2 linked regions of the Caenorhabditis elegans genome follow. The protein of the gene in region 2 purifies or fractionates together with the protein of the main gene of each other region. This does not show direct contact. Each region holds a gene or a part of one and is shown on either strand. Other genes may lie near its edges.

Evidence for each region. Proteins that work in one complex are often made in the same cells at the same time.
Region 1: the proteins of rrf-3 (region 2) and pir-1 purify together in Caenorhabditis elegans (affinity purification with mass spectrometry, with the first as the bait; one study listed by BioGRID). This does not show direct contact.

What each region holds. Positions count from the first base shown.
Region 1 is NC_003280.10:9,174,430-9,180,323, reverse strand, and holds pir-1 (RNA/RNP complex-1-interacting phosphatase homolog), read right to left. Parts: upstream 2,987-5,894; 5' UTR 2,941-2,986; coding exon 2,858-2,940; intron 2,662-2,857; coding exon 2,419-2,661; intron 2,376-2,418; exon of another isoform or gene 2,369-2,375; coding exon 2,271-2,368; intron 2,216-2,270; coding exon 2,105-2,215; intron 2,058-2,104; coding exon 1,891-2,057; 3' UTR 1,691-1,890; downstream 1-1,690. Other genes in the region: RNA-binding protein sym-2, read left to right, coding at 738-1,205, 1,256-1,441; sec-5 (Exocyst complex component 2), read left to right, coding at 3,177-3,243, 3,293-3,398, 3,447-3,815, 3,860-4,055, 4,108-4,342, 4,401-4,816, 4,863-5,157, 5,221-5,318 and 2 more. UniProt on the Caenorhabditis elegans protein: RNA polyphosphatase which has RNA 5'-triphosphatase and diphosphatase activities. Displays poor protein-tyrosine phosphatase activity. Binds to 5'-triphosphorylated RNAs (also called ppp-RNAs).
Region 2 is NC_003280.10:8,159,987-8,169,254, reverse strand, and holds rrf-3 (RNA-directed RNA polymerase), read right to left. Parts: upstream 6,791-9,268; 5' UTR 6,698-6,790; coding exon 6,630-6,697; intron 6,575-6,629; coding exon 5,965-6,574; intron 5,919-5,964; coding exon 5,683-5,918; intron 5,636-5,682; coding exon 5,522-5,635; intron 5,472-5,521; coding exon 5,114-5,471; intron 5,069-5,113; coding exon 4,249-5,068; intron 4,202-4,248; coding exon 3,930-4,201; intron 3,885-3,929; coding exon 3,643-3,884; intron 3,601-3,642; coding exon 3,389-3,600; intron 3,343-3,388; coding exon 2,655-3,342; intron 2,607-2,654; coding exon 1,883-2,606; intron 1,839-1,882; coding exon 1,381-1,838; intron 1,336-1,380; coding exon 1,230-1,335; intron 1,179-1,229; coding exon 987-1,178; intron 941-986; coding exon 743-940; 3' UTR 604-742; downstream 1-603. Other genes in the region: T05C12.11 (uncharacterized protein), read left to right, coding at 28-573; emb-27 (Cell division cycle protein 16 homolog), read left to right, coding at 7,086-7,171, 7,218-7,322, 7,367-7,871, 7,918-8,317, 8,361-8,727, 8,778-9,072, 9,117-9,268.

The sequences.
Region 1 (5,894 bases), 1.0 Mb from region 2:
GTTAAAATGAGAATTTTGATTTTTTACCTGTTTGGTCGGGCTAACCACTAAGCTCTATCATTTTTCGGTATAATTTGAATGGATATTGTTTCATGGTAAATTTAGGCAGTTTAGGCAAATAAACCGCCCCCGTCAAATAGATTGATGATGATGAAGCTGTAGCTCCGTGAGTTACAACAGGTGAGAATACAAAAGAGTATTTAAGTACTTACTGATGAATATGTTCCGATGACAAATATTCAAATGTTGAGCAGAGGTGGGGGGATGAGAAATGTGGGGCGTTAGTTAGGAATTTACGGTCTTTTATCATATATGAGTATGGAGTTGTTTGATAAAAAACTAAAGATTAAAATATCAAAATATCAAGATTTCTATATCTCCAACATGACCGAGATATAAGCTCAAAAAGTAAGAAAAAGAGGTTCACTACTTTTAGGTGAGTCTAGTAGGCAGGTACGCCTTCCTGCCTGCCTGACTGTTGCCTGTTTTCTGCATTTTTAAGTTTAAACGTTGGTGCTCAATAGTATAGACTTTCGCATTTCTAAGTGTATCATTCATAGTAACTTGGCAGAAGGCGCGAAGTCATATTGTAGGCAGGGATCAGCGACAACTCTTTCTTCCAAACTTTTTTTGTTTTCTGCGCTGAAAAAACCTACCTGACAGGTTTTAAATGAACATATGTTCAGAGAAATTTTTATAAAACTTATTTTCTAGTACACAAGTTAATGCTCTTCCAGGTGCAACATATCGTCACATTCCTTGGTGACTTTGCAACAATGGTAAAGTTCCAAGGTGTTCATATGGTATACAACAATCAAGGTCATCCATCAGGTGAAGCATTCATTCAAATGATCAATGAGCAAGCGGCTTCTGCCTGCGCTGCTGGAGTTCACAATAACTTTATGTCTGTTGGCAAAAAGAAGAGATACATCGAAGTATTCCAAGCATCTGCTGAGGAGCTTAACCTTCATCATCTGGTTGGTCAACAACATCAGGTTCCACCACCGGCTCCATTGGGTTTCATGGGGCAGCTGCCACCACAGGCACCACAACCACAACAGTTCTGGTCAAGTTACCCATCTCCACCAATTTCACCAATTGTGCCAGGGCAGGTTACCCAATTGATTATCTATGGTATCCATATGAGCATCGGAGTTCCTGAGCTGGTGGCTAATTTCACAACACCGGAACATACTGTTGATAATGTAAGTTACTCATAAGTTTCTTATAAAGCTAAAACAAAAACCAATTCCAGGTCCTATTCACACGTTGGCCAACTCATTTGTGTCCGGGAGAAGCCATTTTGACGCTCCGCAATCGTGGTGCTCCACCGCCTCAAACGAGCCCATTATCACAAATTTCTCAGTTATCTGCTCCGAACTTCGCTGCTTATTCTCACCATCCACAAAACTTCCCACTTCAACCGATTTTGATGGAATAGATCGAGTAAAGCTATCGGAATAATTAATTATCATTTAATCATGTTTTCCTAAATTTTTCTCGTTGAATTCCCGTTCACTCCCATCATAGTATTCTGTTATTTCTTGCCCTAGAGCCCTCATTTTTTGTCGCATAATTTACTGCGTCTCATCACTTCCAAACCTGTCTCTCTCTCTCACTCCAACCGTCTCTCCACATCCATCCATTCATCTTCACGTTCGCAATTTCTGTGATTTGACCAAAAGTTGACTCTTTTCCGCCCTAATTTATTGTAATTTCCTGCGAAAAAGTTGTGATTCAAAAAAAAACTGTGATTATTTTCCATGTGTTGTACTCAGAAAGAAATCTATTAATAAATAATAACAAGTTTACCCGATTTTTGTTCGGATTTACAGAACGTAACAGTTAAATGACAAGTAATATTAGAAGAACAAACAACAGTATTGGGTGTTATTGAGAATTATTTCGATGCAACTGTTCACTCGAAATTGTGGAATCGGCTGAGTTTCCGCTGCTTTTTCCGCTGCTTTTTCCGTATTTTTTCTTCCTTTCAGCTTCGTACAATGATTTTTTGTAGTGTTCCCGCTCCATTGGATGTCCACGGTAGTATTCAAACACTGAAAAATAATTATATAAAACATGTGTTATTGGATCCAAAACTTACTAGAAATCGCATCGGATGCACTATAATTATCCACGTCAATCATATACCGGCAAATAAGGTATCCTGTTCTGTTGAGCCCATGAGTGCAGTGTACGCCAATCAGTTTTCCATCTGCAAATGTAATCGAATAAAAAAATTTTAATTTTGTTCAAAAAAAATTATCTACCGTTTTCTTTATCGTTCACAAATTCCTTAACAGCATTAATGAAGTCTTGCACAAGATCTTCTCGTTCGTTCACCTCGTGACCGGGGCAATTGAGTTTCCTATAAACTTTCGATTTTTCTAAATTAAATGTTAAAAAATTCCAACTCACAAATACTTGACTCCGTGATCTGCCCATTCCGTCTTTTTATAATATCTATCCGTATTTGTGAGATCGATAACCAATCCAATTTGTTTATTAGCCTGTTGTGCCAGAGAAATCAATGTTTTTACACCAAATTGAAGCTCCACAGGCATATTTTTCCCATCGAAGAATGATGAATCTAGTGGTGTTTTGAATGGAACAAATCGAGTCCCATCGATATCACGGCCGACGTTATCGTAAATATTCCATCTGAAGAGAAAATCGATAATATTTAAACTTTGAAAGAACAAGTTTAAAGGTATGTGATGAAACTTTAAATTTTTTTAGTTTTAAAAAATTTGACACACAGAGAAACCCTTTTCAATTATTATCAAAAACTTTCTCAAGAGATTTATTTCCAATTAAGAACTATTGGGACTAATTATGGAATTAACTGTAAAAAAACCTGTCTGGGAGTCTCTTTCCTGGAAGCCTTTCATATCCGCGTGGGCGATGCTGATAATTGTGATTATGATGGTAATTAGACATGACACTGACTGAAAATATTGAGATTAAGATTGAGTGGCTCAAATTTAAAAAATTAACGATTGCTGTGCAACGAGGCTCCGGCATTCCGCTTAGCGCCTTGTTTATTGAATCAGTGTGTACTCCACTCGGACAATCTGTGGCTCATGTATTTATTTTTAATTTATTTTAAAATATTTTAATTTTATGATACTTTAACGTTGTTAATCAGATTATAATTGAATAATTTTTAAGCGTAAATGGAAGAAAACGCTCAAGCTCGGGAAAGACTACCTCCTACGGTAACAGGGCTATCGCCCACTGAAGGTGAATTTAGAAAATATGATTTCGGTCTTAAATAAACATAATTTTTCAGGAGTCCCTGGAACTCAAATAACAATAAGAGGAGAAAACTTGGGAAATGATCAGAGTGATGTGATTATGCTTTTTATATGTGGAATCGACAGTTTGTGGAGTATGAAGTGAGTATTCGAATTCTTTTAATTTACATCTCGAAGCTCAATTTTCAGATGGAAATCCCCATCAAAAATTATTGCCCGAGTTGGTGCAGCATCACGTGGTCCCGGTGAAGTACGAATAGCGACAAAATCCGGTGGAAAAGGCTCTTCGAATGTCAAATTTCGTGTCTTCATTACTCAAATCGGACCACTTGAAGAATCCGCAGTCTGGGTAGATGAAACGAGAACAGTTCCAGGAAGAGAAGCAATTCGAAGTGTTCCACAAATTCAAGATGAAAGAGATGCACTTGGATTACTTCCAAGTCAGAAACGAATGGATCAAGTTCTTCTCTCAAGAGATTTTCCTGATTGTTCTGGCAATTTAAGAATGGAAAATTTCTCTCCACAATGGTATCTTCTAGAGAATCATGCAGACGCCACGTAAGAAAGTTGTTTAATAATTTTAATTAATTTTTGGATTTCAGAATCGAAGATCTACGAATTGCTATTAAAAATATGGAATTATCAAAGCAAAATGAAGCGAAAAGAAGTGAAGAAATGCACAAAGCAAACTTGTATTCATTGATTAATTGTGTGGATACTTTGGCAAATCTTCATCAAGCGTTAGAAAAAGGAGAAAATGCTGATCATTTTGCCGCTTTAAAAAACATTTCTAAACTGGTATATAGCTGATGAAAAAAATGAAATAAACTTAATTAAAATTAAATTTCAGATCAAAGACTCCAAATCGAAAGCAGAAAATGTGTTTGCCGATGTCTTAAAACGAAAAGATGATGCAGACGCAACTAGAAATGCTCTCGGAGTCATTGTCAGATTCAAGTTCATCTTTTTCCTTTCTTCGAAAATTGAGGACAGTATGAAAAAGGGTGAATATATTACAATTCTCAATGATTATACAAGAGCAAAATCGTTGTATGCAGACACAGATGTTCCGTTGTTTAGAGAATGTACGTATTTAATTTTTCAATTTTGAAAAATAAAAAAAATGATTTGATCGATTTACAGTGATGACTGAGATCGATGAGAAAATGCAAGTATTCAAGGAAGAAATGAAACGAAAGCTTATCGATACTCCAGTCTCATATGAAGAACAAAGTAAACTTATCAAATATCTAAAAATTCTGGATCCAGAATCAGACCCTACTTGGGATTGTATAACCTCTTATTACGTCTGGCTTGAGAAAAGTCTCTGGGATATGCAGACGCAATTTTTGGAAAAAGCTAAATTAGAGGATCTTGAAAATCAGCAGAGAATCAATTCGCAGAATCACCTGATTACGAAAACCAATGAGCTACAGAACTTTGTGACAACGCTGGTTGAATTATTATTGAGCAAACTTCCCTCATTTTGGAAACTTGCCAACACATATCATAACTCAACGGCTTCTCCTGATGCCATTCAACGATTGGAGGATATTAATGTTAGTGTATTGTAAGCAGAGTTTTGAAACATTTTAATAATTTCAGCAAATGCTGACCAACATCATAAACGTCTCATCGTGGCTGATTCTGAACGCCCTGGTTCCCAAAGCTCTTCCTGATATGGTCTTGAAGCAGTACGGAGATCAATTTGCAAAGTGGCCCACAGTTCCTGCTGATATTAGTCGTTCAAATCTTCAACTCAGTCTAAAAACTACAAGATCTTTGATTTCTTCACTGCTTGAAAATCAATTCAGTCTTACTCATGTTCAACCGTTAGTTGAACTGTGTATGACTGCCAGATTGAAGTTGCTCTCCGATTTCGTAGATTGTGGAGTGGAAAGTGAGTATAACTTTTATACAATAAAGATGATAAATATTATTTTATAAAATATTTAAATTTCAGGAGTTGCTCTTCTTGCTCACCGAATCAACTGGAAGCAAGATATTCTTGACAGAGCACAACAAACAAAGACAATTCTTCCTGATTATTATGAAAATGAGGTTATTTTCCATTTAACGGAAGTTATTAAGATCTATCTATTATTGCAGATTTGCGAATGCCTTACGCGTACTCGTGATGCTCTTTCCATTTCTGGATATCCTGGAGAAGCTTGCCTTTTCTCTCGAGAACGTTTCCGTGACACAATTATTGATCTATTCGTACATCTCATCACTTCTATAAAAATATGTTTCGATCGGTTATTCATTCGACAAAGACCTCAACAATTGGCTCAAGAACCTGGACAAAAGAAAGGAAATAATGAAATAACGACGAAAAAACTTTTAATTGCCGTTGGAGATATCGAATTTATCATTGCAAAAACGCTGAATAATGTTGGCAAAAAGATGCAAGAATGTGGAGTTAAACATGTTGATCAAATTCAAGAAGTGAGAATGAAAAATTTATGCTTCACAATTTTTTTTTATTTTCAGAAATCTCGAGCAAAACTTTCCGCATTCCGAACTAAAATGATCAATGATTGCATTGCGATGATGAGCAGTGCATTTGAACCTCTTATTGCTTCAGCAACTTATGAGTACTTACCAGATGATGATGGTATGTTCAACGATTTCAGA
Region 2 (9,268 bases):
AAATGTAACCATGTTCATTAATTTCAGATTCGAACATCAAATGATACAATAACTTTCAAAGTGGACGATCAAATAATTCGACGACCATTTGATTCAACACAAAATAATATCAAAATCCTAATACCTCAAAAAGTTGCTTGCTGTTTAATTCGAGCACTTTTCCTTAATAACTCCGATCTCGATGCCTATACATCAGTTTCAACTAGATTTTTCACTTCATCAAAATCATCATACAAAAGAATTCTGGAAGTTTTTGGATCCACGTCATCTTCTCTTGTTCTGACTACAACTCCATCTACATCAACTTCTAGAACAACTACAAAAAACGACACGAATAAATGGAGTAAGTTCACACTTGGCAAGAATCCAACTGTGAGCAGTAGTACAAGTGAACCGAAAATGGAAAGTTCGTGGACTCATGCAGTGAATAAGGAATGGTCAATCACATTTGTACTTTGTTCTGTTATTGTTTGTACTATTATGCTTTTTCTTGCTGTTTTCGGAACTTTTACAGTTTTCTATCTAATGACTAAGCCAAGAGGTGGTAAATCTCCATTTGCAGTTGATGCTTGAATATGTGATTTAAAATAATATTTCTTTCCAATTTAAAAAAACCCAATAAATTTATCTGAAAATCGAACCGAGATCAAAACATTATTACACATACAAATATACTCGTCTCATCATTAAAAATTCTATAAAACAAGCAAAACATAAAACATGATATAAGTGGAAATCTATATTACAAGAACTCGTCGCGTACTTCATTCGGCACGACGTTGTTGGCAATCGCGTCCCTAATTGTCTCTCCACTGAGAAGTAAAAGTCGAGCGAGGCGTTGTCGTGCAAGAACCGTTCCAACTGATGTAACATAGATCATATCAGACTTCCGAGTTCCAGTGATTTCGCGAGGAATTATTTCTTTGACACCAGACCAATCCTGAAAGTTTTTCACTAGAAACGAAAAGTATTTTCGAACCACTTACCTTCAAAGATTGCAATATTCTACTCCTACTGATCGGATAATCATCGTTGTAGTTTCTCGAAGAGAACAATGACTCGTTAACTAGTATTGGATCCTTGCTTTCTGTAATCTGATCCACCGCATCCTCATCGTCCAAATGAAGCGCATCAAACCGTCCAGACACAGCGATGGAATGAAATGTACGATATGCAATCTGGAATATGTTTTTTGTTGATAGATCTGGAATATTAAAGATCGAGCTTACAAGATGTAAAGGCATCCATTGTGCACTTTTAGTAAGTATTGGCTCAACAATATCTTTTTCGTAGAAAACTCGAAGACTTATGCTTTCAGCTGATGCGAAAGATTGACTGAAATATTGAAAAATTTTTCCAACACTAGATTTTTAAATTTACCTTGCCAAATATCTGAGAAATTCGAGCATCATTGTTCCCATATCGAAATTTCTCAATATCGGAGCTTCATCTGCATCTTCTTTCTTCGAAATCCATTGCTGAAACATTGTTGTTGGCATCAGAAGACTTTTTTCATAATCAATAGTGGGATTTCCCAGGAGATCTCCGAGCCCTAGACGAATCAAAAGTCTTCCCAGCTGCCAAATCGACAAAACACTTGATGGGAGCACATTTTCTCGTTCAAGCCAAACTTTCAGGATGAACAACATTTTTATAATCTGATCTCCATAAAAATATACGTATCGTCTCAGGAAAAGCGCATCTTTGTGAGATTCAATCAAATCTTTCAATTTGAGAAACTTGTCAAACTGCCTTTCAATGGAGTTTTCGATCTCCTCTTCTAAACGAGCAGCAATTGGATATTTGCCTCGTAAAACTGCGTCATTTTTATCGAGCATCTGCAACAAAAAATTAATATATTTATTTCATAATTTTAACTTACTAATTGTCGCCTCAAATCACACAATGCATCCCAAGCAACCCAGGGAAGACTCTGTCCAATGCATCTTCCAGCCTTATTTATCTTTGGCTGCACATATGCCACGAAATACCATTGCCGAATCTTTTCATGCATTGCCTTCGTACATTTCAACCGAGTGTTCTTTCCATCATTCTCAATGTTGATTTCTTCTCCACCAAACTCTTCAAAGAATTTTGCACGAAATACAGCATACAATTTTTCATAACGAAGCTCAACGACCTTATCAGTGTGATAAAATGAATAGTCGTCTCTCTCCATTCCAGCTAATCTCTTGATACTTGCAGCATGTCCAGACACAACTGAAGCTTCGTCTTCAATTCCATATTCATCCAAAAGTTGTTGCATTCGATCAACGTATTCATCGCGAAGAGTCAATGTTTGTACAAGTTTTATTTCATTTCCGAAGAAAACATCAACGTCTTCTGGACAAATCAGTTTATCATATTCTCTTTCGAATACACTCCCGCGTGTTTCAAATTCTTCCAAAACTTCTTCAACTTTTCGAGCTTTTCGGTGCAATTGTCCATTTAATCGGGTACTGTAGTACATCGGTTTTCCACCTGACATCATATAATCAGGTGTCATTTCGCATTGCTCGAAACTTGACAATGGTTCCGCGGGAACTCCACTTTTCGGAAAATCTACAGCTACTGCACATTTGAGCGCGATGGCGTGACAATTTTCGCTGAAAAATAAGATATTGGCTTAACATGGATAATTTCAAGGAACATACTGGAAAAGTCCGTGAAGATCAGCATAAGCCAAATGAGCGTGACTCATTCTTCCAATTGAATCCTGTTGAAGGTATCGAAGGAAGAATTCAACCATATCATCTGTAGTAGGTTCTTTGTCTTCTTCTGCAGCTGAACTACTCGGAAAAACCATTGCTTCTTCATTATAATCGAGTAGCATTTCTTGATCCCATATTATAGAATACTCATCTCCATCCAAATCTGAACCTGCCATTTCATCGGGATGTGGTCGTGGGCCATGTTGTGGAAATACTACAACATCGACTAAATGAGCTAATGCTGGTTGCCAAACTGCGTCGAAAACTCGAACATCTCCAGGAACGTGACACGGATTTTTGGTAATCAAAACTTTGCCTGTTTTCAATATTGGACGGTTACTGGTTTGTCGGATACTTGGTGAATACTGGATGAAAACCTGTCCGTACTGTAAAAGTCCAGTCTCATCGACAACACCGTACATTGATCTTCCCAAACTTGGAGGCAAGAAAATTTTAGCTTTAGAAATGTGATGGATGATGTTGTAGCGATAAATAGAGAATAGCATATCTCGTATCAATGGATCTACACTCAATTCGAACCCGGCTCGTTTGCTTGCTGCGTTCCAGTCGATTGCCAAGTTTGTGCGATTGACTAGCTCTTCTGCTGCTTGATTTTCATTTATGAGCATATCTAAAATTAGGAGATTATGATTTGTAACCATACAGTAACTACATACTACTCAGAGAACATAGTTCTCTTTCCAAGTAATAATGAACACGATTTGTGATCCTTCTGTGAGAGCTTGCAGATTGTTTTTCCGACACTTGATCCAGGATTGTAATGAATGGACGGTTGAGACAAACTGGAGATGGCATAGCGTATTTTACTACTTCGAGGTATTCATCTTGCAGCTCTCCACCACCTTCACCAAACTTTTGCTGACTTTTTCTGAAAATTGATCATATAATTTGTTTGATAGATCATCACTACCTGAAGATAACTTTAGGCATATTTATAATATCATCGATTGTTGGATCAATAACTAGAATTCCTTTGAAACCTTTAAATCGCACTTGGAAACAAGCTGGTACTTCCTTCAATTGGAGAATCTTAGATATATGTGTTGCCAGTTTGATAGAAATTCGACCACAACCATCAGAAAAACAATATTTGTTCTCTACACCACCTTCAATGTCAGGTTCAACGATCCAGTGATGTCGTTCAAGACGTACCTGAATATTTTCGACTATATGAATATTTTTAACACTAGAATATACCGTTGGTTGTGCTTGTGTAAAGCATTGTCCCATTCGACTCATCATCTTTGGAACACTAATCGCATCTCGGAAATCTCCCATCCATACTCTAATATCTTCTACAGTTCCTGTGACTTCACCAGTTAATGCATTGACTCGAGGAGCGTATAAATAACATCCTTGATCACGCATTTGAGAATTACTCCATCCTAGAAAACTGTAGACACGATCAGCAACTTGAATTCCATTTTTGAGAGTCAAATAAATTCCTTCGGTGACAATATTCGACATGTCTGGAAACTTAGATAATATATTTAAAAATATTTAAAGAATTTCTTACGATCTATATTATTGATGGAAAAGTCGCGAATAGCGAGCCGGCCCAGATTGTCATCTCGGAACACACAACGAAGAGCATAATCAGGTCCAAATCTTCTAACAACTCGATTTACCATCATTACTTCTGGAGCCATTAGCAGTATTCGAGATGGTGTTACAATAACTTTAGCCACTGAAACACAATTCTTCGGCAATGGCTTTGCAAGGCCTACATCTTGAAGGCTTTCTCCTTTCAGAAGTCTTTCGTATTGAATCTTTCTTGATTGATACATTGTTGTGAACGCGGTAACTACATCGATTTGACGACGTTCATCAAATGCATTCAAAAGTTGTTCGAGAGTCTCTTCTGTGGCTTGAGAGCATTCTTTCATTCCCCTACGAACTAATTTCAGAAAGAGCGGCTCGTGTACTAATTCCATTGGCTTTTTCGTGTCATCAACATCATCGTCATCATCTTCATCATTGTCATTGTCTGAACTTGGAATATTTTCATCAGTTGCGTCGAAAAGTTGGTCCGTAAATACACTTCCGCGTGTGATTAGAGCCTGGAGAGCATAATTCGCTCGGAAAGATCCCAGAGAATGGAAAGCCGGGGATGGTGCAAGTTTTCGGCGAATTGAAAAAATGGAGCCGAACATCACTTTTGCTTTGCTTCGAGCAGAAAGTCTAGTAACAATATCCATCAATTGTGTAGACGATACCGAATCGTTATCATCATCTTTTCTCATTGTCAACCGGATCCAGGAGCTTTGCGAGAAAGCTTCAGAAGTACAACCGACACCTCGGCCCTCAGCATCGCCAGGCCAACTCAATACTCTTGTCTGAAAATTTACAAGTTTTTAAAAGTTATTTGCATACCATATCACCCATTCTGTGCACGTTTCCATATTGAGAACCTTCGACTTTGATGGGTGAAAAATCGTATTTTTCGGAATTCCTTCCCAGAGATGCGGTGGATTTTTCATTTGTATATAAATACTGTTCGTAGTTTCATGAGACATGTCGACAACAATTCGAACAAACAAATTATAATATAGATTAAGACGAAATCCGGCATGATCCAAACCATCATCAGCGAATTCGGCTAATCGAACTCCGAAATATACCACTGCCAGTCTTTTGTCATGCTCAAATCTCGCATACGAGAGGTATTTATTGCTTCCTGCCACTTTGAATGAACTGTTTTCACGGGATGCATCTGCATTATGGTGTGACTGAAGCTTTCTTAAAAACAAAAATCTGATTAGAAATTCTGTAGAATATGTGCAACTTACACACTACAAACTGTGTTTTCTTGACTGATGAAATCTCCTCTAACAAGGAAAAGTCCTGAATTAGGGCAGTTTCCAATCGCAATCGCAGAAATATTTATATCCATGTGTTGGGGTCTAAATTATAACTTGAGTATATAAAAAGCGGATGAGTATTCTATTACGTTATTTTTGTGAAAAGCGTATGCATTTTCGGGACTTCCAAAAATACTTGATCATGGAGCATTCCAGTTATTCTAGATGTGAAACTTGATGCGAACTCGGAGAACAATTCATTTTCATCTTCTACTTCACCGTTTGGCGTCAAAACTAAATGAGCATCGATGACGTATGATTTATCTTCGTACGCAGCTCGTGGCACCATCCCCACCTTGATCCAGTTTACCTCGTCAACTTTAGACTGAAATTAAATTGTTTCAAATACGGCCAATTAAAAAATCGCTTACCAATTTCAAGTGTGTTTTCAAAACATCTTTTATATTTTCCATGTGTGCTCGGCAATATCCAAAGCAATCATTATTCATGCTGCCAATGAGCTTAGCATCGAAATTCAGCTCAATCGCCTGTTTTTTACTAAACTGTCTCGTCTTCGCAACTGTTTCCGATTCTTCTGCAGCGGCCCATAACATCCGCACGAGTTTTTCTTGTTCTTCGATATTTACACCACCTCTGTGCTTCGTTTTCTCATAAAGAATGTGAGTTGATGGGAGAGAGTGCCGTTTTAGAACAGAACAGTCGACTGGTTTTGAAGTAGAAGGCCTTTGTGACTGTAGCAGGTAATCACGAAGATATCCACGATTCACTGGATACGAAAAATTGTTTAAATGATTTCCTGGAAAAGCCGACGATGAAGAGTGAACAGGCTGTTCTTGTACGTCAACTTCCGATTTAGATTTTGAATTTCGATCCATCCGAAACGTTGTCAATAGCATCTTGTTTGAATGCCCAATTGTTAAGGTGTTCACTGGAGTGCATTCTGTTTTTCGATTTGGTAAAGTTCCAGACGAAAAATTCGATCTACCACGTGGAAATGTTGATTGACTCTGAGGAACTCCTCTGGAAAAAAACATTGTTTCATTTGACTACCGTTTGCTCACCGAATTTCAATTACCTTGGATGCTTCGGCCTAACAGAAGTTGTAGCATCATCGCTAGAGTCATCATTATCAAACGGGAGCATTTTGTGAAAGACTTTTTGAAAATGGCATTTATTTTACGAAAAAAATGAGAAACAATTTTATTCAAAAATTTGATGATGTATGTTCGCTCCATTGACAATTAGCAACGAGACTCCGCAGTTACGGCTAAAATTTAAATTTGATCAAGCATTAAATCCTTTTTATTTTGTTTTTAAGCGCCTAGGCGCGCCTTTATGTTATTTAGTTAAAGTAGCTGTAACTACTCCGTGTAAGCTGTAAAATTATAATCTAAAAATAAGACTATAATCTCAACACTTTTTCACAACAGTTCCATTGCAATTAACGTCATTATTGAATTTCTATTTTACAATTCTTGTTGCTTAACTTAAGTTCTCTACTTACTAAACAAATATACGAAGCCTTTACAGCATGAGCGCGATCTCGCCTGATACAAAAAGTTTTGCGATTCCGACATTGGCTGATGAAGGTTCCTCAAGCAAGCCAGCATCATCTTTGTGAGTTTAATAAATAACATTTCTTTTTCAAACTACAATTTTTCAGAGATTTGCCGAAACACGAGTCTATTCGTTTCAAGCCGATTAAAACACTTGCAAGTAGAATTGATGGATCGGAGTATTATGACGAGGCGAGCATGGAGAAAGTGATGTCAGTTTGAGACCAGCATATATATTAATATGTTATATTTTTAGGGAAATGCTTGAAATCGGCAGAACCGATGAAGCTGTAGCTTACGCGGATACATTATACTCTAATATAATTGATGATGAACAGCAAGATATTGTCACCATCGCTGAATACGTAAAAATTCTCGTCGTTCTCCGTCAATGGCGGCGTATTAGCCATATTATTGCTCGTGGGAACTATCATCAGATTCACATTGTTTTTGCTTATTATGCCGCTACCGCACTTTTCCAACGGAAATTATACGAAGATGTAGCTGAATTATCGGTCGGTCATCTTCTTCCAAGTAATGGCCAAATTGGACCTCTTCCTGTTCGAACACTTTCACAAGTGACGGGGAGATATGTCGAGGAAGAAAGAATGAAGTACTCATTTGCAAATATGGCCGAATTGGATAATAGCTCTAAAAAGCTCAGAATGGTTCCAGCTCTTATGATAACCATAGCAGAAAGTTTTTTGAAATTGATGAATCGTGATGCTGCAATGATTTGTATTAATTACGCGCTGAGTCTTGTAAGTCATCTTTTATACATGATTTGACCGTGTTTTATTATTTCAGGATAATACAACTCTCCATGTCGAACGATTAATGGCAAAATACAATCTGGTTGAGCCTGCGATGTGGGAGAAGTACAGAAAAGTCAGAAATGAACAGCTGAAGTTACACGAAGGAAATCATGATCCACGAATTCTTATGGAACGTGCTCAACGTGCCTACGAGATGGGTCGATTTCGAGAAACAAAAAAAATCACTGACGAGCTATTTGATCTATTTGGACCACATCCTGAGTGCATTATTCTTCGTATTCACTGCCTAACAATGTTAAAGGATTCTCGATCTCTGCTTGAATTAGGTCATCAACTAGTTAGTGATGATCCTCATATTCCACTTCCATGGTATTGTGTTGCTATGTATTATTATAGTATTGGAGCAAACTCAAGAGCTCGAAATTTCATCAGTATGTTTCCCATTTCATTGAGGTTTAAATAGAGCTTCTTTAGGTAAATGCACGATGATGGATTCGACGTTTGCTGAAGGATGGGTGGCTTTTGGTCATATTCTTCACTATGAAGTTGAACACGAACAGTCCATGAGTTGCTATTACAGAGCGTCGAAACTTGTGGATAAAAGTTCTGAACCGTTCTTGTACACTTCTCTTCAGTACAGTACGCATAGTCAGAAGCTGAGCAAGAAGTTCATGGGAGAAGCAGTTGCTCGGGCACCGAATGACCCTCTGATTCGTCACGAAGAAGCTTGTGTAGCCTATACTGCAAAAAGTTACGCGGAAGCCGATATTTTATTCAGAACTGTTTTGTATATGGTTACAGAGACCGATGAAATCATTCCAATTGAAGAAGTCTTGAAAAAGTAAGTATCTAATTCGATGATTATTTGAGAGAAAAATAACATTTTTTCAGGAAAATCGACGACTTTTGGCACCCAATGCTCAATAACATTGGCCACATAGCCAGACGGCAAGGAAGGCTGAATGAAGCAATCATGTTTTATCAAAAAGCTATCCGAATGGAGCCAAAGTTTGTAGATGCCATTGCATCAACTGCTCTCTGTTACGCAGTTCTCGGCAACATTGATAAAGCAACTGAATTCTTCAATAAAGCTCTTGCGATCGATCCATTTAATGAAACAATCCGTCAATGTCTGTCAAAAATGATTCAAGCGTCAAAAGAAAGTTATTCTGTTGATCAACAAACGGTAAATATACTATATCTTATGTTATCTAGGTTTTTTGTTTTCAGCTCCCGCCCGCATACAACTCTGAAACATACTTCGGTGCACAAGAAATTCTTCCGTACTGTGCAATAAGAAAACCACGAAATGATGGATTCGTTGTTCCGTCCATCGTATCGTCAAGCCAACCATTTATGTCGATGCTGAGAGATCGTTTGCG